Linked DNA regions of Ovis aries. The protein of the gene in region 1 purifies or fractionates together with the protein of each later gene. This does not show direct contact. Links are inferred from orthologs where the notes say so. Each region holds a gene or a part of one and is shown in the gene's direction. Other genes may lie near its edges. The genes, in order: SF3A1, ZC3H18, HNRNPC, PHF5A, SNRNP200, SNRPB and RBM17.

Region 1 (3,660 bases):
GATAGGGCCCAGGAGGTGAGGCTCTTGTGACGGGGTGGTCACTGGTCTCACGGCCAGATAACCACAATAGCAGGCCATAGGCTGTCTTTCTTGACTTTGGCAAGAGCCCTTGATAGGAATGGGGATCAGATGGGAGGTGAGGAAGTGGGGGCGACAAGACTGAGGGCACACGGGCTGTTGAGCTACCAGAGGAAGGCGGGGGGAAGGTGGTGGCAGTCAGGAACGTGAGGGCGGCGGAGGAACTTTCTAACATGAGAGGCTTGACCCTTTGTTAGAGGAAGAAGCTGGTGAGGAAAGAGGATTGGAACTTACAGGGCAGTTAACGCTGAGCATTCCAATGGTTTCACCTCTTAAATATTGAATGGTGGTTTAGACCGTGGAATGGGTGTAGAGGGAAAGGGCATTCAAGGCAGGAGTGGCTAGCAAGGAGTTTCCCATTTCTTTATTCAGCAGACGGTGGTGAAATATCCTGTATTAGGCATATCCAAGGATGTGGGGATACAGACATGGCCTTCTGGATTCTGGTTTCTCAGAATGTGGTCAGATCCATGTCCCATCATTCCCCTGCCCACACATGTGAATCACCTGGACGCTTGGTGAAAATGCAGACTCCCGGTGTCACAGAGATAGTCCAGCGAGGGGGAGCCAGGGAGGCTGCTCTTTTCATTGGTCCCTGGGAGAGTCCCGTGCAGGCCCAGAGCAGTTGAGAGAAATGGTTCTTCTGGAGCAGAGGTTCCTAACTCCAGGAAGTCGTGATGAATTGAGCTGGAGAAAGTCTGTGTTCTCAGTAACATCCTGGAGGAGTTTAATTGTAGGCATCCGACACTAAACCAGAAACTTCAAGGCCTTCCTTTTCCTGTTTTCACAGCCCACAGAAGAAGAAGCATCTTCAAAGGAGGATTCTACCCCTTCCAAGCCCGTGGTGGGTATTATTTACCCTCCTCCGGAGGTCAGGAACATCGTTGACAAGACTGCCAGCTTCGTGGCCAGGTAACGTAGCTGCTCCTGCTCACGTGGGTCGCAGTTTTAGCACAGAACTGAATTCTCACGAGGGTAACACCTGGGTTTTTAGAGTGGCATCGGCTTAGGCCTGTCAGCTCATTGGAGACCACAGTGTGATGTAAGGTCAGCTGTGGGCAGAACTGGCATCTCTAACACGGTCTGGCAGTGGCAGAGGACAGGCCCACCCAGCTCCAGCGTCACCAAGAACCTGTGCTTCCTAACCAGGCCTGAAGAAGTGCCTGGAAGACTGTTCTGTCAGAGATGTGTGTCCGTGTCTGAGCTGCTGGCCTGAGGAAGACAGAACAGGGAGTGGACCGTCTCATGAGCAAGGACTGCGTTCCCGACCCAGCTGTGGAATGGAATAACATGCCCCTCGCAGAGTTACCGCGAGGCCGGAGAGAGGGGCCCAGGTGCAGTCGGGTGCATCGTGTGGCTGTCGGCCCAGATGGCATGGGAGTCAGCTGGATTTCCTCTTGTCCCTCTCCATTATACTTGAGCACACCCATGCCTCCTCAGATGGAGTCTCCTTGATAGCCACTTGACTCCAAAGGTCAACCATCCCTGGTTTAGGGCGTTAACTTTTGAACTGGTTGTCACTGTTTAGAAATGAGATTGCACCGTAAGTCTGGATTTCTGGCTGCTGCTGAATTGGACGGTTGCTTGCATGGAAACGGTAGCCGGCCTCGAGCAGAGCGCTGCCCGCAGTCAGGCCTGCGCTCTCCAGGGAACTGCACCTTGACCCCGGGACAGTGTCCCCGTCTAGGAGTGGGCTAGCTTTGGTTAAGGCAAGAACATCATTGAGTAGATGGGTTCTTCTTATGAAATGAAACATAGAAAGAGGTTCCTCTGGTTGGCGTCTTTCACTGTGTCAGGCTCCGTATAGATTAACCTTCCACATTTCCAAGGCTTTGATTAACCTGGACACTGGGTTAAAACGGCTCTGAGCCTGGTTAAACGTTATCGGGCCATGTCCGATTTAGGGCAGCAGGTATTGCGTGCATAACTTTAATATCTGATAGCAACACTCATTCTTCCCCTTTTCCCCGGATGTTCTGAAGACAATAAACAGGAAGAAGGTGTTAGAGGACGAATCGCCAGTCTCACAACCAGAGTAGATTCTCCCAGCTGCTTTCACTTTTTCCTGTTTCCTCCGGGCATTCTTTTTAGGCTCTTGTACTGGTAGAGGTGCTGTCACACCCTGCTTTTTCCCACTTGCCTGTGCTGTGCGCGTGTTCCTGGGTCGCCCCTGGTCTGCTGCATGGCCCCCTCTGGAGAAGACACACCATGTTGCGGCGTTGGCCTTCCTTGGCCTGGCCCACTGCTCTGTGTCTTCCTTGGAGGTTGTTCCAGCATTTCAGTTTGGCGCATAAAGCTGGGAGGAAGTCTCTGAGTATTTTCATTCCCTTTTTCGATGTTTTCCTAGAAGAAAACTCTGTGTGGCACATTGCTGGCCGAAAGAGCATTTTTAAAGATTTCTTAAACATTTTGCCAAACAGCTTTCCAGTCATTTTGTGCCAGCCACAGAAATAAGAATTCTTTCCAAGTTCCCTTAATAATAAATCTGTACGTCCGCATCTCTAGATCTTGACTTGGACTCGTGTCTGACTCTTGGTGACCCCCTGGACTATAGCCCACCAGGCTCCTCTGTCCATGGGATTTTCCAGGCAAGAGTACTGGAGCAGGTTGCCATGCCCTCCTCCAGGGGACCTTCCTGAACCAGGGGTTGAACCCATGGCTCCTGCCCTGTCTCCTACATTGCAGATGGATTCTTTACCACTTTGCCACCTGCGAAGCCCCGATGGCCTTGTAAGCATTTCTGAAATCTCTGAACTTGCTTTCGTTAGTGTTTCAGTGAAGGGACGGATCAGTTTCTCAGGCTGGGTTAAAGCATGCATGCAGGACCCTCGGCTTTACTTGTGTGGGGTTCGCATGTATTGAGTGAGTGAAATTCACCAGCCCAGTGTGGTTTTCAAAAAGGAGTTTTTTCTCTCTAGGTTTGGTCTTCCCTTCCCTGCATTTTCCTGTCAAGAAACTGGAGTGGAAATCACCCTTAAAAAGCCCCACCAGCTGGGTTGAGTCAGACTCATGGTTTTTTTTCCTGCTGAAATCTGTTCCTTATGTTGGAGAATACAATTCTAAACATAGCATTTAGCTAATTTAAAGCGACAGAGTAGCTTGGAATAAGCATGCCTGTCCTCTCGTCATTTTATATTTCGGATTGTTAGCAGGTGTGAGGTTATGGCTTAGGAGGCGGTGGTAGAGGAGACACCCAGAGCCCCTTTTTTAGCAGCCCTTTGGGTGGCGGCCTGGTTTAGCCGTATTTAAGTGGACATTGACCTTGTGTGGTTCACATTATTTTAAGGTGGGGGAACCCTTCCTCGAGCATGGGGTTTCAGCTGGACCAGCACACGGTCACACCCAGACCTCGCGGTGTCAGTCACGCCGCCGAGCGTGACCAGCACTTGCAGAGGAGCTGGCCGGGGTGTTGATGACGGCGGCTCAGGTGGGGTGCAGCGCTGCCTGCGGCCTGCCTTCTCTTCAGCTGACCAGGCCAGGGCGTGCAAGTCTGAGGACGGGGGCCGGCCTGGCTGCCCCGGCCTCTGGAGCCACCCCTTGATGTGTCCGGGGCGCTCTTGAGAGCAGGGCTCTGGCCAGAGG
Region 2 (3,660 bases), on another chromosome or scaffold:
GAAGGCTGATAGCACTTGTCCACCTGGATTGAAGCAGGTGCACAAAGGGCCTTTTGCTAAAAATAGCTCTTTAGAGGAGGGAAGATAGCTCTGTGCTTGGGGAGGAGGGTGAAGTGATTTCCATAGTACAAACTGGGGGGCGCATTCAGGCTCTGTGAGGACTTCTTTCCACACACCATCCAGCAGCCTTGGGATTTTAGTTTGAGGCGGCGTTTCCTGTGGTATTGGTATACAAGTGTGCACCTTTGGGGGATTTCTTTTGTTAGGTTTACCGTTAGTTTTAAGTGCCTGGAAGTTTCAAACTTGAGACACATTTAAAATAAGTGGTGTCACAAGTTCGATTTCTGTATGATCATCACTATTTTTTACCTAATAGTCTGTATGGACAATATAGTAACTTTTCCATGTCTGTAAAAAGCCGTCTTTGGGGTTCTAGAAGGGCTCGGACAGGAAGCCAGATGGATCAGCACAAAACTTGAGAAGGGAGAAGAGAACAACAGACAAATCTCTTGGGTCAGTGGAAGTCCCCAGTCAGTGTGAGGGCTGTATTCCAGAACAGAATTTGTGGAGTCATTTGGCGCTCAGGTCCTGTTTTCCTGTAGAACAATGGTGGTGTGTGGCAGTTAGTCCCAGGGCAGGTAGCAGGAGCTCATGTTCTGCATCGGGCTGGCTCCAGGATTGGGCAGCAGAGTAGAGACTCCAGCTTGGACTGCACTCAGTGGCCAGGTGACTCCGTTTCCTTCTCTGTGAGGGGTAACGTTTGTCTGAAAGGTCGATGTAAGAGACTAGATCCAGTGCCTGGCAGAGCAGTAGTCTCGCCGCAGGTCGGGTGGCTGTTGATTTTGCTGCAGAGTTGTTGAGAAGACGTGATCGTGCTGAGTGCGTTCTCTGGTATGTGTTGGGTGACTGGCCCCTGGGCAGTCTCGTGGGGAGTGGGACACGGGTGTTGGAAGCCATCAGCTTTGTCTCATCTCGCTGCTGCAGTGACTTTAGAGTGGATGCTGTTTCCCCATATTTCAGATAAAGAAACTGGCGTCTGGCAAGTTTACGTAATTTGTTCAGGACCCTAAGGCCGGCAGGCAGTGGAGCGAGGATTCGGGTTCTGATTCAGAGGCCCACACTGATCCCCATGTCCCAGAAAGACGTGGTCCACTTGCTTGAGTTTGTATATCTGAAGCTAGGGGCTCTTTTTCTTCCATTTCTTACCCTAGGATTTAAATCCAAGTTTGCCAAAATGCACAAAGCAATTTGGTTGGACCAATCATGACAATGGAACCTTTTGGCACCTGGGCCCCAGGAAGGGACTGTTATCATGTTACTGGCAAGCAGCCTTGGTGCCAGGAACAGTGAACAGGATAGTATGTTGCAAGGCTCAAGTAGCAGTTGTGTAGATTTTAAGCTAGTTTAAGAGGACACTTAATTTTGGTTACTAGCTGATTAATTTCAGAGGCAACTTGGTTCCCGAGGTTGCCGTTAGACTGTACTATGTGACAATCGGAATTTGTCTGAGGCTTAGTGACCAGTTGTATATGACTGCCTGCCTTCAGGGTCCTGGGGGCCAGCCTGAGCAACTGGGGAGTGAAAGTCCCTGCCTCTCTATGGAGAGGTTTCTTACGCACAGTGTAGTAAAAGCTATGCTAGGGTAGGCATAGGACATTGTATACCAAGGAAAATCTCATACATTTCATTGATATCAGCTAAGGTGGGGCTGGAGGCTGCTGGTTTGCCACTGGCCCCCGACTGGTTGCCGTATGCCCAATGCTGTGTCTGGAGGAGGTGAGGATGTGGGCCCTGTCTTGGTAGCTTTCTCACCTTGCCAGTCGCCCTGGTCTTGCTCTTCTAGCAAGAGGGATGTATGTGGTGACAAGCTCTGCCCTGTGCAGGGAGGCAGCAAAATACAGCGCTTTAGGACTGACTTTTTAATGTTAATAATTCCTTCAGCAGGCCTGCCTCTGGACAGTGTTGTTAGAAGGCCGCAAAGGGAATCGTTTTCCAAGCTGTCTACTTTTAAGTGACTTTAAATGGATTGGTTTGTAAATTCCTTTCACTGCTGACTATTTATAAAGTGATGAATTTTAAGTGATTTGTCCTTATGTTTGCTGAATTTTAATAATATCCGTTATCAGCAAAAAAAATTTTTTAACTATGAGTTCAGATACCAGTTCTTGATATGCGCATCTTTAAACACACATTCTCCTTTTGAAGGTGTACATTTAAAAGATATACTTTAAAACTTTGGTTATATATGAATGCATAAATAACTTTATATAATTATACAAATACGGGTATGTGTGTTTTCAGGTTTCATCAAGGTACCATGTAACATGACTGTGGCATACATTGTTTTTAATAAAAAGTCTTGAAGACTCAGGTGAACATTAAACCTTTCGCTGTTCCTGCTCTTGCACACCAGCTTGATGGTGACCCCTGGCCTGGTGGACGGTCAGTGTTCGCGTGTAGGCTGTGTGGTGTTGGTTGGCTATTTGGTGTTGATTTCGCACACGCACACGCACACACATACACTGTCTCACCCCAGCTTATGCAGCCTGTGTTTAGAACAAATGGGACAATTTTTTGTCTTTGCACATTAGGGTGGGAAAACCAGGAAATAGTCAGTTTATAATTAAATCTAGTTAGTAAAAATAGAAAAGAAATCTTCTAGGATGACAGTGTTTTTATATTTGAAACTACTGAAACACATATGATTTTCTGCCAGAGTTGTTTCCTGCAGCATGCCCATCCTGGAAAGGTACTTCTTGAGAATCAGGGTGCATGGAGGCCTTCTGGCGTCCCTTGGTGGCTCCAGAAGGACCTTCAGTTTAAGGATCACCCCCAGTGATTGTGACTTGGCAGTCACAGGCCTAGCCCTGGAGAGACCTAGGCAGGAGCAGAGACAGCCTGCGTCCTGGGGACTGTCCGAGGCAGTCGGGTTTGTGCTCCAGACCCTGTGGGGGGCTCCAGACAGTGGTCAGGTGTGTTGTCACCTTGTTCCTAATGCACATCCTCCTGAATTTCAAAAGAAATTACTTTAAGAGCCCAAAAAGCTGTTGTTTATGGTGCCCATCTTCCTGCTCAAGATAAGCTTGGGTTGCCCTGGGAGGAGGGGGGCATGCTGGGGCTCTTGGCACCCGGTGGCTCCCAGTGTGGAGCTCCCGATGCCCAGCTCAGTGAGCCCAGCCTGGCCCCATGGAGGCCTGGGCTGTGGTGCCTGGTGCCGCTGGGATGTGGAGGAGCCGGGCAGCCACAGGTCCAAGCCCTCTTGGGGCCAGGAGACCCACACGAGACTGACTGGCCCTTCTGCTGGATGCTCTGAGTGTGTTCTCTTTCTTTTGCAGAACCGTGGGTACTGATGGATGTGGCCGAGAGCCCTGACCGGGACCCTCGCTCTGCAGAGGACGAAGAAGAAGAGCAGCAGGGGCTCTCGGACGATGACATCCTGAGGGAAAGCGGGTCTGAGCAGGATCTGGACGCGGCGGGTGGGAGGGCTTCCGACTTGGAGGATGAGGAGAGCGTGGCCCCAGGACTGAGCCAGGAGGACGAGGAGAGTCGCTCCGACGAGGACGACCGGGACTCTGAGGCTCAGGAGCTGAGCAGGGGCCCTGCCAGCCCCCCGCGAGCCGAGGGGGACCGTGCCAGCGACCTGAGGGACGAGGCCTCGTC
Region 3 (3,660 bases), on another chromosome or scaffold:
ATAGTACACACATACTCTTAAATTAGGAAAATGTTCCTGTCATACCTACTTGCCTTGTTAAAACAGAATAGAAACATTTTTATATTGTTAAGGTTGAGCAGAAGAAAGAAATGTCTGTGAGACTGCAGAATCAATGTTCTCACTGCCAGGATTGGAGACTGTTAGCTACTGATGAGGCATATAAGAGGGAGATGCATCACATTATATAAGGGTTTTAAAATTTCATCGCTTTGAAGTTAGGTGGGGGAACAGTTGGTGGATTGTTCCTTGGCCTTGGAGTCAATAAAGTGGTTCAGAACTAGAATTATTAGTTTTTTTTCCTACTGGTACGTTTTAACTTATGCCCTACAGGCTTTCGTAAAAAGAATAACATAGAATAAAAAGACTTTCTGGAACTAATGTCCTTGTGGGAAGGTTTTTGTTTTATTTTTTTCTCTTTACAAATGTAAGCACCAGTACCATGCCATCACTTTGGTATATCTTTAGCAGTCACAGGAATACTTACTCAGTGGAAGCAGCAGTTGAAAAATATGTAATTTTTGAGAGCTAAATGTGTGCTGAGCAATGAATTTAGGCACTAGTGAATGGTGAACAAGATAGACAATATCCTCTGTTGGAGCTTTGAGCGGAGCTTATGCTAAATGTTGTTAGAATTGATAGTGGTATGTACACCCAGCTAATACATATGAAATGCCTGTTTCTATAGGCCAAAAGCAGTTAATCATGGAAGTTTTATATGGTTCAACCTAATACTATAAACTAGTGATAAATATTTGTATGCTTCTGTGGATGAAAATGCCAGGGATTTAGCTAATAAGAGCACTGTTTGCAAAGTTGGTTAATTGTAGTCATTTGTGAGTACTTTATTTCCTTATAATACTGTAGCACATATATGAAAGGAATAAGATGAAAGGCAAAGGCCATTCATTGCAAAAAGTAAGGTTCTATCAATAATGCCATTGTACACAGGAACCTTTATGTCCAGAGCTTAAGGCAACCATTGTGTGTATGTGTGCGGTTGCAGTATTAAAAAGAATAAATTGGCCTTATGAATGAAATTAACATAGCAAAAAGAATTAATTGCTAGACAATTGACAATAATATATATCATTTTATAAGGATACAGTTGTTGGAATCTTCCTGACTTCTTTGTGAAGAAATTCTGTTTTCCTTTTATCCAATAGGATGTACAGTTACCCAGCACGTGTTCCTCCTCCTCCTCCTATTGCTCGGGCTGTAGTGCCCTCAAAACGCCAGCGTGTATCAGGAAACACCTCACGAAGGGGCAAAAGTGGCTTCAATTCTAAGAGTGGACAGCGGGGATCTTCTTCTAAGTCTGGAAAGTGTAAGTATTATTACTGCAGCTTTCTGGTTCTGATATTTCTTGTATGTTGAAATTCAGAGATCAACGCAGTTAATATTCAAAACTTTTATGTTTGTACAAATAACTGTTTAATCAAATAATGGAAGATGAGAAAATAGTGATTAAGGGGTCAGCTCTAGGCAGCCTTTGTCCTTAAGGCCTTGGTAATTTGAAAAAGTCATTAGATTTTAAGGAGTTGCAACACCCATTCAGTGTATAAAATAATGTTTCTAAAACTAGAAAATGCTTTAAAATAGAATTGAGGGGGTTTTTTTTAGCAGGCTTACAAAAGTAATAATGCTGCTCCTAAGGGAATAGATTCATTAGATTCCATTTTCATCTAATAATCAAAAGATCAGTGAGGCGCCCCCCACCCCCACCCCCACGTCATTACTAGGACAGTCTGGTATAGGCTCCATTTCTCTTCAAGGATCTCATGTTGACTACCATTGTATAGTCTAGAGGGGGAATGTGTTTGGTTATCTGGTAGCTTCTAGTATATCTGATTTTAATCTAGGTTTTTGTTTGTATTAAGTGAAAGGAGATGACCTTCAGACCATTAAGAAGGAGTTAACCCAGATAAAACAAAAAGTGGACTCTTTACTGGAAAGCCTGGAAAAAATTGAAAAAGAACAGAGCAAACAAGGAGGTAAGTGGTCCTATTGCTTGTTGGGTGTAAAGTAGAGTTAGTTACCTAAGCTAGTTGCAAGTACATGTTGAAATAGTGGGGTATAAAGCAATTGAATATGAAACTTGTGGAATTTGAATTGGGAAGGGCATTTTGTGGGAGGATTTAGATTTGTGCTGCAGTTCTATGATCTGTTAGTGGGGATTGTCTACATCCTGTGGACATTACTTGCCCCTAGACAGACTTGTCCTTCTCATCCCCAGTAGAGATGAAGAATGATAAGTCAGAAGAGGAGCAGAGCAGCAGCTCCCTGAAGAAAGATGAGACTAATGTGAAGATGGAGTCTGAGGGGGGTGCAGATGACTCTGCTGAGGAGGGGGACCTACTGGATGATGATGATAATGAAGATCGGGGGGATGACCAGGTGAAAACCACGGGAAAGGAAAGAAAGAGGTGGTGGAGGGGGGATCAGGGACACATGGAGTGCCTCTAACTCCATCCTATTTGTGTCTGTTTCTCACAGCTGGAGTTGATCAAGGATGATGAAAAAGAGGCTGAGGAAGGAGAGGATGACAGAGACAGCGCCAATGGCGAGGATGACTCTTAAGCACATAGCGGGGTTTAGAAATCTTGTCCCATTATTTCTTTACCTAGGCGCTTGTCTAAGATCAAAATTTTCACCAGATCCTCTCCCCTAGTATCTTCAGCACATGCTCACTGTTCTCCCCATCCTTGTCCTTCCCATGTTCATTAATTCATATTGCCCTGCGCCTAGTCCCATTTTCACTTCCTTTGACCCTCCTAGTAGTTACGTTAAGTCTTACCCTGTAATTTTTGCTTTTAATTTTGATACCTCTTTATGACTTAACAATAAAAAGGATGTATGGTTTTTATCAACTGTCTCCAAAATAATCTCTTGTTATACAGGGAGTACAGTTCTTTCCATTCATACAATAGTTGCTTCCCTAACTACAAAGGCAGTCTCATTAGTTGAGTAGAACCTGAGAGCAGCTTTGAGTTAGAGGTATGTGTGTTATACCCCACATAAGAGTGCTGTGTGGGGCTGTTCAACACAAATGTAACAATGTATTTTTGTGAATGAGAGTTGGCATGTTAAGTGCATCCTCTAGAAAAATAACTAGTGTAATAGTCTTAAGATTTGTTTTCTAAAGTTGATACTGTGGGTTATTTTTGTGAACAGCCTGATGTTTGGGACCTTTTTTTCTCAAAATAAACAAGACCTTATTAAACCAGGAATTTGGAGAAAAAATAAATACCCTGATTTTTTTATTTTTGTATTTTATAATTGTTTACTTCAAATTCTTTGTTTCACAGCAGCCTTCACAAAACCCCTAGAATGTACTAGATAAATATCTTTGAGTCAAAATTATTATGCATACCAACATACACTTCAACTTAGGTTTCATTGGGGTGGGTGTTGAATCAAGGAGACAAGTAACTTGGATTGAAGTGGAGATTTGTTTGCAAAAATGGCTTTTAAGGCCTAATGAAAAAGTTTGGGAACTTCCTTAAGCCTTTTTGTCAATGTTTTGTGATCCAATTGGCACCTTTTTTGAGATTTTTGTTGTGTGCTGAATTGTTTCATCCTTAAGTAGAAGAGGTTCAAACATGTCAAGAGTGAAACAGCTGGAGAATGAAACTTGTCTTT
Region 4 (4,320 bases), on another chromosome or scaffold:
GGTTCATAACAGGACTGTCAAGGTCAAACTGTTGATTCTTTTACCACCCCATCTAGTAATTGAAAAGCAATTGAAAGTGGGCTCAAAATACTCCATTCTGGTACTCTCACAAATACAAATGTCAGCTCCAGGATCACACTCTGGCTCAAAAAGTTCTGAGGGCAGGGTGACAGGAACAAAGAGAACAGCGGGGTAGTAGGGCAGATGCTAACGCCACAGCACTTGGGTAACACTCAGAGCAGGAACTTTTACCTAGCAGTTTCATCACCTATCAAATGAGAATAATCATCCTACCAAATGATCATATAAATTAAGCGATATGATGAGGAATGGTCTTGCAATCTGTGCAAAGGTGAGACTACTGTTATCATTACTAATTACTACGGCTGGGGACGGAAGGTCCCCTCGAACTCTTGGCTGTATGTTCTGCAGGATCCCCTCAAGATGGAATATAGTTTTTTTCTCCAGACTTCGGGTTTGACAACGATTGATGCACTTGGCTAGCAAGTCTCCGCTGCTGAGAGATGAGAAGTGAGGCCTTCGGGTTCTGGGCCTAGCGGGCTCAACAACCACCGCGCCCCCCCAGTCACCTTGTCCTCACCTTGAGGAACAGAAAACAAAACTCTATGGGGTAGAAAGTGAGGTCCACGAAAACGAGAAAGAGGTGCCTCCACTCTTCACCTAGCTGCCGCTTCTTAGACCCAAGCTTCCAGCTGGGCGGGGACAGAGCAGAGAGAGAGCTGACAGAGCCAGGGACGCCTTGACCTCGGGCGCCGGAGGAGCGAGCGTGGGTGCTGGCCCCGCGACAGGGACAGGTACACGAAAAGCCGGCCGGAGGTCGGGCCTGCCTCGTCTTGCCTCGCCCACAGCCGCAATCACAGGAGGAGGCACCCCGCCCCCGCGAACCCAGAGGGCCCTCAGTTCGCTCACCTGCAGCCGGGACACCAGTAGGCTGTAAGGCGCCATTTTGTGCACTGACAAAGATGAGGTCGCTTGAAAGTGACGTGCCACTCAGAGTATTTAAAGCCTTCAGGCTGGGGGCGTGGCCTGAAGAGAAACGCGGCCTCGTGAAGGCTGGGCTTCGGCCGAGGCGCCTACTTCTGCGAGCGCCTTGGGCGGAGTTCCCGAGTGAGGACTCGAAAGGGGAGAGGACAAAACTACAAAAAAACACTTAAGGAAGTAGATGCCGGGCAAGAGATGTCTTATCGAAGTGAAAATTTCACCTTTGTACTTTGCAATTTGCCTCTCCCATTCTAGTTCTGGAAAGATTGTGATTTTTTTTTTTAAATAACTTTCATACACCTGCCAGGACCTGACCCCCGTTAGGACGGAAACCTGGCTTTGAAATTTGAACTCGCGAGAACCAGCGGGGCTTGGTGCAAAGAGTATAAACGCTGACGGACGTCTAGAGAACCAATCACGGCGACCAAGAGGCAGGAGCAACGGAGGTTAAAGGTCGGACGGAAGTTCTGTAAGCTTCCGGTGGTTTGAGAGGGAGCTATGGCTAAGCATCACCCGGACTTGATCTTTTGCCGCAAGCAGGCTGGTGTTGGTGAGGCAGCCTTCTGCCCCCGGCTCTCTTGGTGGGAATGGTATTAGGACCTAAGAGGTCCGGGGTTCCCGTCACTTGCTTAGGGTCTTGCCCGGGAGGCGCCACGTTTCCCGCCTCTAGGTTGAAAGTGCAGGAGCGCGCGCGTTTGCGGTCTCTTGATGAAAAGAGGGCGGGGGCTCGCGTGCTGGGAGCCGGAGGCAGGCTGCCGGAATGGGGCTGGGAGAAATTCTTAGTTTGCGCAGGACCTGTGAGGGGCTTCAGGAGGCTCTGGATTTGGTTCGGATTGAAGTTTAAGAGGATAAGATGGATAGATCCCCTCAGGGCTCACTGCAGTCGCTGCTCCTGTCTCCACCGCAAGCTCGAAGATGTTTGTCCCCTCTTCGTCAAAACTTTAATCCTAATTGTGCTCTTTACCGTCTTTTATCTTGCAGCCATTGGAAGACTGTGTGAAAAGTGTGAGTGGAACACGCCTCCCCAATTAGCCCACCTGGCCCACTCAGTTTCTGTAGAGCAAGCAAACGAGCATTTTCAGCGGTGGCACTAGGAGGACTTGGAGTAGACGTGACCCAAAGAATGTCAACACAGTGCCAGGCTGCAACTAAAGGCCACCACCCTCACTCCAGCTTGCACGTTTTAGACACTAGGTTTTGAGAGAATCTTTAGCTTTGGACCAGAGGTAGCATGACCCCATCGACATATACAGCGTTCTGCCAACTAATTTATATAGACGTATCTACCAGGTGCTCCTCTAAGGTCTTTACCCAGTAGTTGATTAACTTTTCCTTTGTGTTGTAGCGATTGAGATGGACACGAGGTAAGTCAGGTTTTGTGATGCCAAAGTAGAGGGTCCTCAAGTCACTGTTAGGAGACTGGTGTAGTCCCCATAGCGGGAGGAGGGCAAAGGACTTGAGGTATTTGCACATGGGTGTAACTCCATTCTCTTCTTATAGGTGATGGCAAGTGTGTGATCTGTGACTCCTATGTGCGTCCTTGCACTCTGGTGCGCATATGCGACGAGTGTAACTATGGCTCTTACCAGGGACGCTGTGTGATCTGTGGAGGCCCTGGAGTTTCAGATGCCTATTATTGTAAGGAATGCACCATCCAGGAGAAAGATGTGAGTATATATAGGAAGCTTTTCATCTGATTTTCCCTTGTGTTTAGTATCACTTTGCCATCCACAGCAAACTGTATGGTCCGTGGATGAATATGTTCATTTAGTCATCTAGGTTATAATTTCTTCAGTGTCTGTGAGCCAAACTGGGTGTAGCCCAACAAAAGGCAGTTATTTTGTATCAAGGACAAAAGTGCAAGAGAAGCAAATTTTGGTCAACACTGGCAATTTCGAAAGCCCTCTATTCCTTTGATGTCTCTCTCATTTTTATTCACAAACAATATCTTTTTTTTTTTTTTTAAACTGTGCCACATAGCTTACAGGATCTTGAACCCTGGCCACAGCAGTGAAAACCCAGAATCATAACCATTAGGCCATCAGGAAACTCCCAATATTCTGCATTTTTAAGTCCTAGCATGGTGCAAGGTGTATAATAGCCATTCAGTAATTCTCTTTATTATCATTAAGGACTGTTCAGGTGGATGTATTGACTTCTGAATTTGGGACTATTCAAGTTGATTTCAGCTCTGAGTAGCTAGAGAATACTTTTGCTTTGATTTTTCAGAATTGCTTGGGATTCTGTTTGGACGTTTTTTTCCCCTTAACATTGTATGCTGGCAAATGCAATTGAGCCAGTTGCCAGGATACAATAGAGAGTTATAGATCTGTACCAAAAACAGGTTTCTTGGAGGAGAGGAGGACAACCCATGAATCACCTTCTGTTCTTATGACAGTAAAACAAAGTGTGATACAGTAACAATAGGCTAATATGAGGTATCTGGTTACCTAATCTAGGATAAGACATAAGGCAAAAAAGAAATAAGAAATTCTTTGGCCATGCTGGGCAGCTTTGGGGATCTTAGTTCCCCAACCAGGGGTGGAACCCAGGCCCCCTGCAGTGGAAATGCAGAATCCTAACCACTGAACTGCCAGCGAATTCCCAAAAGATAAATAATTCTTTATATTCCCTTTTACAAATAGTAGATAATTAAATATATATATATAGGGCTTCCCAGTTCGCTCAGATGGTAAAGAATCTGCCTGCAGTGTGAGAGACTCGGGTTCATCACAGGCTCAATCCCTGGGTCAGGAAGATCCCCCTTCTATATAGATCTTATCTCCCTTATTCTTCAATAGCTTTGTTAATTAGGGGGTATTATTATCCCCATTTTACAGCCCCTCTCCCAGCTAATAAGTGTCAAGTCCCAAGCTTTCTGACTAAACCTTGTGGTGTCCTTTCATAAGTCTGTGATGTGCCTGTGTTGAAGAGAGACGATTCAGCTACCTCAGAATCTTTGCAGTTAGATTTTGTCTACCTCTAATAAGTGGGACATATTAGAGCAGATAAACCTATTTTTCACACCAGTAAAGTCTTCTGTTATTTAGGGAAGCGAGAACGATCGTAGATAAAGTACCAGAAACATAATTTCAGTTGGTGATTTGAACGTTCTCTCTCTTTTGGGGGGCTGCTCTGGGTCTTGTGGTGTGCAGGGTTACTTGCTCCAAGGTATGGGATCTAGGTTCCCTGACCAAGGATCAAACCCATGTCCCCTGCATTTTTAAACACTGGGCTACCAGGGATGTCCCCGATTTGAACATTCTCTTATCCTAAACTCTGATTTTCGTTTGTCTTTGACTGTCAAATCATACCCTG
Region 5 (3,660 bases), on another chromosome or scaffold:
CTGGGCTTTTACATCTGGGCCTTTGGCCTCTAGACCTAACTTTCCGTGGATGCAGACTCAGCAGGGTGGTTGGGCTTTAGAGGTGGAGCCCATTCTGTGTCTCCCTGGGGTGGCTGTGTGCTGGTGAGTCTCGTTGACGTTAGGCATTTCGTGCAGAGTAGTATTTTGACGGTGCTTAGGGAGCCGCAGTGGCAGTGCTCCTGCCAGAATCACTTGCTGTCACTCAGGCCTGAATCTGCCTCGTGTGGGGCACCCTCAGAGCTCGATCTGCTGCCATGGACTGGCCAGCCTGTGGCTGAGTTGGTGGAAGCATGTTCCAGTCGGCACAGCCTGCCTGTCAGGCAGGAGTGTGAGCCTGACTTTCTCTGGGCTTGGGGGTCTGTTCCAGGGTGACCTCGTCTCCTGCAGGGTAGCCCCCCAGCAGAGCAGCAGTGACAGGCAGACCCTCCTGTAGTACCGCGTTAGCCTCTTAGTCCTGAAACCTTATCCCTGCCCAGCGTTGCACTGAGTTCTGAAGTATAGAGCAGGGTGCGCCACTGCTTGCCCCAGAGGCAGCGGGTCCTGCCCCACTCGGGGGGCCCTGTGCTCAGTCTGCTCCTCCCCTCTGCCGCTCAGGGGCCATCCAGGTGGTGGTCGCTTCTCGGAGTCTCTGCTGGGGCATGAACGTGGCCGCCCACCTGGTGATCATCATGGACACCCAGTACTACAACGGCAAGATCCACGCGTGAGTCCAGTGTGCTGTGCGTTCACGGGCCCCTCTCTCCTAAGATGAGTGTAACCTCTGCAGATCCGGAAGGCCACTGTTGTGAAGAAAAGGTGTTAGGGAAATAAATAGCTAGCTGAGATTCCACCCCAGCCAGGGTTTTATTTGTGCAGACTTATTTCTGATGCTTGAAGCTGCTCCTAGGTTTGGATTTGAGTGGGGTGGGCTTGATCACTCATGAACCATATGGCTGTGAGGTCTGGGAGCCTGCCTGACATACGAAATGCTTTAACATGGAGTCATCTGGCTATCGCCGTTAGATGGGTTGGCTTCCCAGGTGGCGCAGTGGAGAACCCACCTGCCAATGCAGGAGACGCAGGTTCCATCCCGGGTCGGGAAGATCCCCTGGAAGAGGACATGTTGGCCCTCTCCAGTGTTCTTGCCTGGAAAATGTCATGGACAGAGGGGCCTGGCGGGCTGTAGTCCATGGGGTTGCAAGGAGGTGGACGTGAGGGAACAGACACACACACACATTAGATGGATTAACACCTTTGGTTCACAGACCCTGAGCAACAAAGTCCTGACTCTTAACACTTGAAAACTAAACTGGTCTGTAGATAACCTGTGACACTAGGGCCTGAGCACACTCACAGAGGTTTGCTGGGATTCTCCATGTCTCCCTGTATCTGCATTTTATTCTTCGACTTTCAGGGAGGCAGTGTCCTGAGTCCTCTTCTCCCTCTGTCTCCAGGTACGTAGATTACCCCATCTACGACGTTCTGCAGATGGTGGGCCACGCCAACCGCCCTCTGCAGGATGACGAGGGCCGCTGCGTCATCATGTGCCAGGGCTCCAAGAAGGTCAGCCCCGGCCTCTGGCGCGGGCTTCCGAGCCTGGGCCTCGGAACAGATTCTTTAATCTCTCTCTCCATAGGCGTCTTTACTTACTTCCTCATGTTCTCTCTGTCTTCTTTTCTTTCCACATTGCCTTTGTAACAAGCCTTTCCCTGTGTAGAATTTTGTAGCCTTTGATTTTTGTTGCTGCTGTTGACTCTGTGTATTGAGATCTTAACCCTCTGGCTGGGTCTGTCTTCCTCATGCCTTGCTCAGCCCTTGGGGCTCAGTGTACCTTCCTCCGTGGTAGAAATAACCAGTGATGCCGGGGGAACCGGCATACACACCCAGCTCTCCAGGTCCAGACCCAGCTCACCTTGTCTGTGCAGCTGGTCTCTTCCGTTTCGTACGAGCCGTGCCTGTTGCACGGCGGCCGTATTTGCCCTTGGCCTTTCTCTGACCGTACTGTCATTGACTGTGTGCTGTACCGTCATTGACATTTTTTCCCGTAGGATTTCTTCAAGAAGTTCTTGTATGAGCCTTTGCCGGTGGAGTCTCACCTGGACCACTGTATGCATGACCACTTCAATGCCGAGATCGTCACCAAGACCATTGAGAACAAGCAGGATGCTGTGGACTACCTCACCTGGACCTTCCTGTACCGCCGCATGACGCAGAACCCCAATTACTACAACCTGCAGGGTCGGTGGCGGCACTGCACGCATCATCCTCTGGTGGTTGGCACAGCCCTCATTCACCGTCTCCTCGGGACACCCCTGCTTACCTGTCACCTTCACAGGCATCTCCCATCGTCACCTGTCTGACCACTTGTCGGAGCTCGTGGAGCAGACCCTGAGTGACCTGGAGCAGTCCAAGTGCATCAGCGTCGAGGACGAGATGGATGTGGCGCCCCTGAACCTGGGCATGATCGCCGCCTACTATTACATCAATTACACCACCATCGGTGAGGGCCGGCAGGGCCTGCAGCCACGGGGACGACATGACGAGGCTTTCAGGGCCTCGTGTGCTTGTCAGAGGGACGCATTGCAGGGTGGAGCCGGGCTAGCCCAGCAGTTAACTCTGCTCCTCCTCTGCCTGCTTTGACTCCTCCAAATGTCCTTTCTTTCCTCTCTCAGAGCTCTTCAGTATGTCCCTGAACGCCAAGACCAAGGTGCGAGGGCTCATCGAGATCATCTCCAACGCGGCCGAGTATGAGAACATCCCCATCCGGCACCACGAGGACAACCTCCTGCGGCAGGTGAGCGCGTCTTGGCTTCTGGAGTGCGTCTTCCGAGCCGCGTGAAACTCGGCCCCCATACCCAGAGCACAGGATCCCGCTCTTGGGTCAGGAAAACTCCTACTCCCCTGCCCCGAGCTCCCTCACACACTCCACACACATCTCAACCCCCACCACCCACAGCCGTCGTCTCCTCCTTAGCGTGGAATGGTTGTGGGCCTGGGGCGGGTGGTGCTTTGGCCCTGAGTGCGGGTCTCTTCACCAACCGCTCTTTCTTCTGCTTTCCAGCTGGCCCAGAAGGTCCCCCACAAACTGAATAACCCTAAGTTCAACGACCCGCACGTCAAGACCAACCTGCTTCTGCAGGCTCACCTGTCCCGCATGCAGCTGAGTGCTGAGCTGCAGTCGGATACAGAGGAGATCCTCAGCAAGGTATGGAGGCAGGGCGCCGCGGGCATGGAGGCCTGGGCGGCCCATGCGGCAGCAGTGCCCACGCCTGCTCTTGCTCTCTGGGCCCTCTGCAGGCCATCCGGCTCATCCAGGCCTGTGTGGACGTCCTCTCCAGCAACGGGTGGCTCAGCCCGGCCCTGGCGGCCATGGAGCTGGCCCAGATGGCCACCCAAGCCATGTGGTCCAAGGACTCCTACCTGAAACAGCTGCCGCACTTCACCTCCGAGCACATCAAACGTTGCACAGACAAGGTGAGCTGGGCCTGCATCGCAGTGTTGGGTGGCCAAGTCTGGAGGCCAGGCATCCTGCACTGGGGTTGGTTGTGGGAGGGGAGGTGTCTCGTTTTGGCTTCTCTGAAGGTGTTACCCAAGAAGGCGCCAGGGAGCCTGACTGTTGTGAGCTGTGTTCTTTGGATGATCTGATAGCATGGGAATAAA
Region 6 (4,156 bases), on another chromosome or scaffold:
TTTAACTTAGCCTTAATAGAATTCTAGACTTCTAATTTATATTCACTTAAAATTCTGAAATACTTCCATGTATTTTGGCATCTAGAAAAAAAGTCTTAAAAGTTTATTATCTTAGTGATAAAAAAAATTTGAATTAGGCTTGACACTTCTAATTCAATTCTGAATATATAAAGAAATATGCTGCAAAAAAAACAAGAAAATTAGCGTGTAATATAGTATTACTAACTAAAGTATAGATTTTGTCCAAATCTCAAAAATACAAAAAAAATTATGGAAATTCAAAATATAAAAAAATTAAAACATTAATTTTCTTTTTTGTGTCTTTACCTGAATGGTCATATTTTCTGTAATGCATTGGAAATACATTTTGTGTGTGTGTGTTAGGACATTTTAGTAAAGGTTATCATTGAAAAAAAAGTCATGGGACTGGATGGGAGTGACTGATAAATTCATTCATTCAAATATTTATTAAGCCCTTGTTATGTGCTAAGCAGTGTTCTAGGCACTACAGCAATGAACAATGGACAAAGAAAAATTCATATCCTTTGAACTCACATTCTAATGCGGAGGGATAATAACACACATACAGTATGTTAGCAATCAGTGTTAAGGAGAAAGGTGTTAATAAAACAGGGATGGGTGGGAAGGTTTCAGTTTTAGAAAAGGACGGCCAGGAAAGCCCTCAGTGGGAAAACGTTACTTGAACTTAATTCATGAAGGTGAGGCTGTCAGCCGTGCACATACATGGACGACTAGCATTCTAGGCAGAGGCAACAGCAAAGGTGCTGTGCAGAAGCAGGTCGAGTAAGTTCACGGAAAAGCAGGGACTGTGGCTGTAGACAAGAGATGAAAGTGAAAGTCGCTCAGTGGTGTCTGACTCTGCGACCCCATGGGCTGATACAGTCCATGGAATTCTCCAGGCCAGAATATCGGAGTCAGTAGCCCATCCCTTCTCCAGGGGATCTTCCCGACCCAGGAATCAAACAGGGGTCTCCTGCATTACAGGCAGATTCTTTACCAGCTGAACTACCACGAAAGTCCTGTAGACAAGAGAGCCGGGATAAAGTGCTGGGAGATGAGGACCGAAAGTTAACGGGCTGGGACGCGGGGGAATGGGTGGTGAAGGTGAAAAGGAGCAGCTCTAAGTACCGACTGAAGCCGGGAAGCAGTCCAACAAAGAGGATCCGAAGATAGCACCGCCCAAAGTTCCGCCCTGCCCTAAGCTCATAACTCAGCGCCTCGGCCGGAACTCAAGGCCCAACTCCGGGACCGGAAGCAGCTTGCTACCCGACCCCATTTTCCCTGCGGTTACATTTCCGGTAGCGGCGGCGGGAAGCGAGTTACTCGCGGGCTTCTAGGCCTCCACGAAGACGAATCCGGCGGGAATCTGAGCCATCAGAACCGCCACCATGGTGAGGAGGCGCAGACCAGCAGCACGGGAGCTCCTGAGCCTCTTGTGGGGTGGGGATCGCGATTAACCAGGAAGGAGGTCATGGGTTGGCCGCTCAGGGGGTGAAGGCCCGGGCCGCGGCGCCTCCGTCTGCGTAGGAAAGACTCACACCGTCGTCCCTCGGTGGACTGGGCGAGGGGGTCCGGGGTGGGGGGTGGGGTAGAAGGCTGGAAATAAGGGACCGAGGCCAGAAGTCGCTTGGTACGCGCGAGGTTAGGGCTGGGTCTCTCCAAGCCGCTGTGGGATCCCACAGGCGCTGAGTAAACTTTGCGGCATGTATGTGTGTAGGGGGCTTCTGAGCAAGCACTAGCGCCGTAGAAGGACTGAGTAAGACCGAGTGAGAGGCTCAGACTTGTGAAGGGTGAGGGTCCGAGGAGTTGCGGAAAGACGTGGAAGGACTTGTGGCCGGAAACAGTGTTGATTCTGGTAGATGGGGAGGAGGGAACGGAGGATGAGTGAGGGAGGAAAAGTTTAACTCTTTTGTTCAGCATTTATGCTTGAGTACGCCTGACTTTTCAGGCCCTGGGGCTACACAATGAAGTGTTTCCTTTCTTCACTGCGTTCACTCTTATTTGGAGACACGGGTAACATAATTCGGAGTGGTAATTCAGCGTTAAGTAAAAGTAACGGCGGGGAGCGAGATAAGAATGTTTTCTAGACTCGGTGATCCCTGTCAGAGTCCTAAGACTCGGGCGAAAATGGGAAAGAATGGTATAGATCCGAAGGACTGCAAGAACAAAGCGTGAAGGGTAGCATTGTTGAAGATTCTTAGAGGGGAAAGGGAAGAATGTTGGTGGGAGGAAATGGCGGGAATCTGGTTATTAAAGGCTTTACATGCTATTTAATTTTGTTAGTGGTAAGGGATGCCATTGAAGGATTTTTAACAAGCAAAAGGACACGTACTTATTTGTGTTCAGAAAGATAACTGTTAGGTAGCTGTTATATATCGGGTGAACCGGAAGCAGGGTGTAGTTTAGAGAGTTGGTTAGAAAAGTAGGCACTGGATTCAGGCTCACTAGCTTTCAGCACAGCTTGACCTCTTACAGCCATGTGACCTCATCTGTAAAGTCTGATTTTAAGGATTAAATGAGATAAGTAGTGCTTGTGGCAGTGCCTGCCAGTCAGCGCCCAGTGCGAATTAGCTGTAGAAGACAAATGGAGCTGTAAATGTTACTGTAAAGGTTCAGACACGAGTGGTTAGAAGCTGTGGTTACAGTTTGGTTAAAATGGTCATGTAAAAGAAACTGCACCGCATAACTTGAGTCTCCAGGGTAACAGGAGTCAAGATTCTGATCCATGCATTTGTACGTTCAGAAAACCTGTGTTTGTTCAACCTCACAGAGATGAATAGCAACCACAGTGCCTGGTACCTCAAAGGCTCTTGGATGAGTTAAGACTGGTCAAACTAATGGGAGGCTGATATAACAAATGTTTATTCATAGAGATGTAACTGCCAAGGGCACTTGACAGTCCTCTTGTGAGGTCTGTATACTCTATTTTAGCACAACTACATTTGAAGCCAGGCTGTGAAGGAGAAAAGGTTGTTGGGTTAAGGAGTATAGCAGCTTGTATATTCTCATTATGTGTTCAAACTCATTAGCACTCTGGTTACTAGGAAGTTTTGACGTTGCTGAATATAGTCTTGGAGGCACACTAACAAATCACTGATTCGGTGGTTCCATTCTCCTCTTCTAAGCTGTTCATCTCCTTTCTGATAACAGGCTCTTCATTGATTGGGTTCTTAGTGCCAGTCCCATTCCAGCTCTTTTACTCGGTGTTTTTTTTTTTTTTTTTTTTTTTTACCTCAGTCTTTTTAATGGGATGGTGGTGTTCCACAGCACTGGAGTCACCTGTAATCTGCACAGTGGTAGATGGCCACTGATCTCTAATATGCATGGGGTTCAGTAGTTTGGAGCCATCTTACCCTCTCACTTCTGAAACATAATACAACATTGAATCCAGTTCAGTCCCTCAGTTGTGTCCAACTCTTTGTGACCCCATGGACTGCAGCACACCAGGCCTCCCTGTCCATCACCAACTCCTGGAGTTTACTCAAACTCATGTCCATTGAGTTGGTGATGCCATGCAACCATTTCATCCTCTGTCGTCCCCTCCTCCCACCTTTAATCTTTCCCAGCATCAGGGTCTTTTCAAATGAGTCAGTTCTTCGCATCAGGTGGCCAAAGTATTGGAGTTTCAGCTGCAGCATCAGTCCTTCCAATGAATATTCAGGACTGATTTCCTTTAGGATGGACTGGTTGGATCTCCTTGCAGTCCAAGGGACTCTCAAGAGTCTTCTCCGACTCCACAGTACAAAAGCATCAGTTCTTCTGTGCTCAGCTTTCTTTATAGTCCAACTCTCACATCCATATATGACTACAGCATAGACAAAGATATGCAACATAGACAAAGGCAATTGTTATATGAAAAAGATGATTTTACGAGAAGGGACAATAACAGGTCAGGTTTGAAAACAGGTGAGAGAATTCCTAGGAAATGGCTGTGGTTGAAAGATAGAACTGAGAATACTGAGAAGGACAAACAGAAAATAAGGCTGCAGCAGAAGTTTTAAGGAAAGGCAGCAGTTTTGTGGGTCCAAAAGAGCTGAGTCTCATTCCTGCTGATTTCTCCTTGCAGACGGTGGGCAAGAGCAGCAAGATGCTGCAACACATTGACTACAGGATGAGGTGTATCCTGCAAGATGGC
Region 7 (3,660 bases), on another chromosome or scaffold:
CACTCAGCCTCCAGTACCCTGGGCTCTGCTTTATTCACCCTGCTTCTGTACTGCCTTGGGGCCTTTCATTTAGCAGTCAGCACTGAGCACTCAGGTCATCACAGGGTTCAGGTATAAAGTAGGGAAGGAACTCGGAAAGGCACCCATAGGTGACCAAGACTGACCTCAGCTCAGGAGCCGACAGCTGTCCTGAGGGAGGGAGGTGGCATCCAACCCCTCACCCCCGCCCCACGCACCGTGGAACCAGGTCAGCCGAGGTGTTGGGGTGTCGGGGTCTTAAGATCCATGCACAGAAGGGTGGAGAAGTGAGCAGACACAGTTTTGCCCCAGGTCAGATGTGACTCTGGGGGAAAATTAGATACTTCCCTTCCTGTATGTTCCGCCTTCTCTTCCTGAGACATAAGACAGGCAAAACAGGATTTGTGTGACACAGTCTCAATGGCGAAATGCTGTCTGAGCCTGGGAACTGACAGACTTTTGCGATGTATTCATAAGTTAGCAACTCCTGTGTTAAGCATTTCTTTGTAGTTTAGGGTTTTCAGTCAGTTTTTTTTTCCCTCTTTCCAACTGTGAGAAACAGATTGCTGTCTTATTTTGAGAAATGAGCCATCTTTTGGGTTTCAGAATGTTGAGGTTTTCAAATGTGGCAGTAAGGACTTAGCAGCTAGAGGTGTGGACTTCTGACTCGGTTTGACCTGGAGCAGATTTATTTCTGGCAGTCCCCACCCGCTCCTGGACTGCTCTTGGCTTTACTGGTAGCCTCCTCCTAGGCTTCTGTAGCAGATACTGCCTTTGACCACCCTGGCGAGTGTGATAGGCTGTTATCCTAATGTCAGAAAGCAAGGAGGAACTAAAGAGCCTATTGATGAAGGTGAAAGAGGAGAATGAAAAAACTGGCTTAAAACTCACATTCAAAAAACTAAGATCATAGTATCTGGTCCCATCAGTTTATGGCAAATAGATCGGGAAAAAGTGGAAACAGTGACAGACTTTATTTTCTTGGGCTCCAAAATCACCGTGGATGGTGACTGCAGCCATGAAATTAAAAGACTTGTTTCTTAAAAGAAAAACTATGACAAACCTAGAGAGCGTATTAAAAAGCAGAGACGTTACTTTGCAGCAAAGATCCATACAGTCAAAACTATGGTTTTTCCAGTAGTCACGTATGGATGTGAGAGGTGGACCATAAGGAAGGCTAGGTGCCGAAGAATTGATGCTTTTGAACTGTGGTGTTGGAGACAACTCTTGAGAGTCCCTTGGACTGCACGGAGATCCAACCAGTCCATCCTAAAGGAAATCATCCCTGAGTATTCGTTGGAAGGACTGAAGCTGCAATCCTTTGGCCACCTGATGTAAGGAGCCCACTCATTGGGAAAGATCCTGATGCTGGGACAGACTGAGGGCAGAAGGAGACGACGGAGGATGGTTAGATGACGTCACTGACTCCATGAACATGAGTGTGAGCAAGCTCCGGGAGCTGGTGAAGGACAGGGAAGCCTGGCGTGCCGCAGTCCACGCGGCCCCGAAGAGTTGGACACGACTGAGAGGACTGAACAGCAAGTGTTAATTGTTGTCATTTTTGCTGTCTTCATCCTCTGTTCTGCCAGGGATAGCGAGTCATTCACATGCAGATTGTTGATTCTCGCTTTGTGCTCAGAGTCATTAAAGATCACAAGGTGGGATACGAGGAAGCCTGGGTATTAATGCAGTCTAACCTTCTACTCTCCTGTCACATCTGTGAGATCATTTCTGGGTTTTCCCCCTTATTTGTAGGCATATAATTTATAAAAGGGTAGCTTCCCCGCCATCTACTCTGCCCCCCTGCCGCCCTGAAAAGGTGGTTAATTGTGCTAACTCACCTGGTAATAGGTGTTTTTGTAAGGCTTCTACTTTTTGTTAACTGACACAAAGTAGAATTTTTTTTTTAAATGAATATATGTAGTTAAGAATGTCCTGACTCTAGAACTTCCCTCTTCCCTCATTTTGTAGAGCAGAATGATTTCACTCCTGAATTACTTGATCACATGATCTTATATACAGGAAAATTCATGCTAGAGGTTTATTTTGAAAATAGCACATGGGTATTAGAAAGGGCACTGATTGGTGATACCAGGTGTCTTGGCTTCTATCACTGAATGTTCCTGGACGAAGTGATCTCATCAGATACCTCCTACCTCTGAAATTCCATGCCACTGCATATTCTAACATAGGAAAATTAGAAATCTTCACTACATTCTTGCATTCTTTAACCCCTATCCACTTTCCGTTTCAGCACTGAACTGAGAAGATGTCCCTGTATGATGACCTGGGAGTGGAGACCAGTGACTCAAAAACAGAAGGCTGGTCCAAAAACTTCAAACTCCTGCAGTCTCAGCTCCAGGTGAAGAAGGCAGCTCTCACTCAGGCCAAGGTGAGAGAAGCTGAGCCCACCTGTGAGGGAAGAGTCCCGGCAGGTGGCTGCCGAGGCATGAGAGCCACTCCTCTACCTCTGTGTTAAATATGTAGGGCTCATGTGTTGCAGGGGTAGGGAGGCTGGGGTAGAGAGGGAGAGAAATAGGAGTTGAAGGTCATTTCACATCTCCTGGAAATAGAACTGTTTGAGAGAATCAGGATGAGGAAAGGAGTACTCTTGATTTCCAGCAGTGATGCTGGTTTTCAAACTTCAGTATGTCCAAGCATAGAGTTTTTTCAATGTATTATTTCATATGAAAATTTAACAGCGGCCAATCTTTCTGTAAACCTTTTTATAAAAATCGAGATTTGTGTTGTAAGGAAAAGGAACTAGTATATGGTTATCGTAATAATTGAATTAAAAGGCTATTGTTTTAAGATTGTTTCTCTCATATCTGACAGGTTTGTTGCAGAGACCAAAAAAAAAAGCTTTGTTACAAGTAATCTGAATTTTGATTTGAAGCCTCAGTACACTTTTCTTGGTTTTTGATGATTTTAGAGCCAGAGGACAAAACAAAGTACAGTCCTTGCTCCAGTAATCGACCTAAAGCGAGGCGGCTCTTCAGATGAGCGGCAGATCGTGGACACTCCACCGCACGTGGCTGCAGGCCTCAAGGTACACCCCCCGCCCCCAGCACACACCCCCCTGGGTGGGCTCTCCTGCTTTCCAGGCTGCACTTTACACACGCCGCTGAGCATACCTCCTCCGTAGGCCTTGCACTCTAGTCAGGATCATGTTCAGTTTAATTTTTGCTCTGGTTTTATCCACTTTAAAACAGTTAAATCTGTTTAAAGCTCAGTAGTTAATCAGAAATTGGAGGTGGGAGAAAAGAAAAGCAAATGACTTAAGAATTTAAACACTTGGTATCGTTTTCCTCCTGCATCTTCTGTCCCCCCCTTGCGCTTCTCACTTAACGTACTGCGGTGTCCACCTGTGTCAGAGAGTACAGGGCCCCACGCTCAGCCAGTGGCTCCACTGCGCTCCCCTGTGTGGCAGGCGCTGAAGCTCTCGGTGAGGTTTCCTGGCCAGAGGAGCTGATCCTTCTGCAGTCTGGTAGTCTGGCAAGAGGGAAAACCACTTGGTTCCCCACAAGGGAACTTTTCTGAGGATTCTTAGTCATTTAACATTTTTTCCCACAAATTCGTCACCTAATTTTTTCTTGCTGCATCTAATCAAGAACTGGTTAATCATCTTCTGTTATTGTATAT

What was found.
Region 2: the proteins of SF3A1 (region 1) and ZC3H18 purify together in Homo sapiens (affinity purification with mass spectrometry; 3 studies listed by BioGRID and IntAct, with this or other methods). This does not show direct contact. The link is inferred for Ovis aries from reciprocal best matches to the Homo sapiens genes SF3A1 and ZC3H18.
Region 3: the proteins of SF3A1 (region 1) and HNRNPC fractionate together in Homo sapiens (co-fractionation; 3 studies listed by BioGRID and IntAct, with this or other methods). This does not show direct contact. The link is inferred for Ovis aries from reciprocal best matches to the Homo sapiens genes SF3A1 and HNRNPC.
Region 4: the proteins of SF3A1 (region 1) and PHF5A purify together in Homo sapiens (affinity purification with mass spectrometry; 3 studies listed by BioGRID and IntAct, with this or other methods). This does not show direct contact. The link is inferred for Ovis aries from reciprocal best matches to the Homo sapiens genes SF3A1 and PHF5A.
Region 5: the proteins of SF3A1 (region 1) and SNRNP200 fractionate together in Homo sapiens (co-fractionation; 3 studies listed by BioGRID and IntAct, with this or other methods). This does not show direct contact. The link is inferred for Ovis aries from reciprocal best matches to the Homo sapiens genes SF3A1 and SNRNP200.
Region 6: the proteins of SF3A1 (region 1) and SNRPB purify together in Homo sapiens (affinity purification with mass spectrometry; 3 studies listed by BioGRID and IntAct, with this or other methods). This does not show direct contact. The link is inferred for Ovis aries from reciprocal best matches to the Homo sapiens genes SF3A1 and SNRPB.
Region 7: the proteins of SF3A1 (region 1) and RBM17 purify together in Homo sapiens (affinity purification with mass spectrometry; 4 studies listed by BioGRID and IntAct, counting the BioPlex papers as one, with this or other methods). This does not show direct contact. The link is inferred for Ovis aries from reciprocal best matches to the Homo sapiens genes SF3A1 and RBM17.

What each region holds. Positions count from the first base shown.
Region 1 is NC_056070.1:69,359,895-69,363,554, reverse strand, and holds part of SF3A1 (splicing factor 3A subunit 1), read left to right. Parts: intron 1-868; coding exon 869-990; intron 991-3,660. UniProt on the Homo sapiens protein: Component of the 17S U2 SnRNP complex of the spliceosome, a large ribonucleoprotein complex that removes introns from transcribed pre-mRNAs.
Region 2 is NC_056067.1:13,383,331-13,386,990, forward strand, and holds part of ZC3H18 (zinc finger CCCH domain-containing protein 18), read left to right. Parts: intron 1-3,335; 5' UTR 3,336-3,349; coding exon 3,350-3,660.
Region 3 is NC_056060.1:24,263,347-24,267,006, forward strand, and holds part of HNRNPC (heterogeneous nuclear ribonucleoproteins C1/C2), read left to right. Parts: intron 1-1,184; coding exon 1,185-1,345; intron 1,346-1,898; coding exon 1,899-2,012; intron 2,013-2,254; coding exon 2,255-2,415; coding exon of another isoform or gene 2,416-2,484; exon of another isoform or gene 2,485-2,514; coding exon 2,515-2,598; 3' UTR 2,599-3,660. UniProt on the Homo sapiens protein: Binds pre-mRNA and nucleates the assembly of 40S hnRNP particles. Interacts with poly-U tracts in the 3'-UTR or 5'-UTR of mRNA and modulates the stability and the level of translation of bound mRNA molecules. Single HNRNPC tetramers bind 230-240 nucleotides.
Region 4 is NC_056056.1:218,391,172-218,395,491, reverse strand, and holds the start of PHF5A (PHD finger-like domain-containing protein 5A), read left to right. Parts: upstream 1-1,465; 5' UTR 1,466-1,500; coding exon 1,501-1,552; intron 1,553-1,983; coding exon 1,984-2,007; intron 2,008-2,502; coding exon 2,503-2,669; intron 2,670-4,320. Other genes in the region: ACO2 (aconitate hydratase, mitochondrial), read right to left, coding at 931-966.
Region 5 is NC_056056.1:104,085,631-104,089,290, forward strand, and holds part of SNRNP200 (U5 small nuclear ribonucleoprotein 200 kDa helicase), read left to right. Parts: intron 1-615; coding exon 616-724; intron 725-1,454; coding exon 1,455-1,563; intron 1,564-2,048; coding exon 2,049-2,238; intron 2,239-2,335; coding exon 2,336-2,500; intron 2,501-2,672; coding exon 2,673-2,794; intron 2,795-3,061; coding exon 3,062-3,205; intron 3,206-3,297; coding exon 3,298-3,474; intron 3,475-3,660. UniProt on the Homo sapiens protein: Catalyzes the ATP-dependent unwinding of U4/U6 RNA duplices, an essential step in the assembly of a catalytically active spliceosome. Plays a role in pre-mRNA splicing as a core component of precatalytic, catalytic and postcatalytic spliceosomal complexes.
Region 6 is NC_056066.1:52,392,326-52,396,481, forward strand, and holds the start of SNRPB (small nuclear ribonucleoprotein-associated proteins B and B'), read left to right. Parts: upstream 1-1,306; 5' UTR 1,307-1,409; coding exon 1,410-1,412; intron 1,413-4,087; coding exon 4,088-4,156. UniProt on the Homo sapiens protein: Plays a role in pre-mRNA splicing as a core component of the spliceosomal U1, U2, U4 and U5 small nuclear ribonucleoproteins (snRNPs), the building blocks of the spliceosome.
Region 7 is NC_056066.1:10,884,794-10,888,453, forward strand, and holds part of RBM17 (splicing factor 45), read left to right. Parts: exon of another isoform or gene 1-1,676; intron 1,677-2,272; 5' UTR 2,273-2,287; coding exon 2,288-2,410; intron 2,411-2,950; coding exon 2,951-3,067; intron 3,068-3,660. UniProt on the Homo sapiens protein: Splice factor that binds to the single-stranded 3'AG at the exon/intron border and promotes its utilization in the second catalytic step. Involved in the regulation of alternative splicing and the utilization of cryptic splice sites.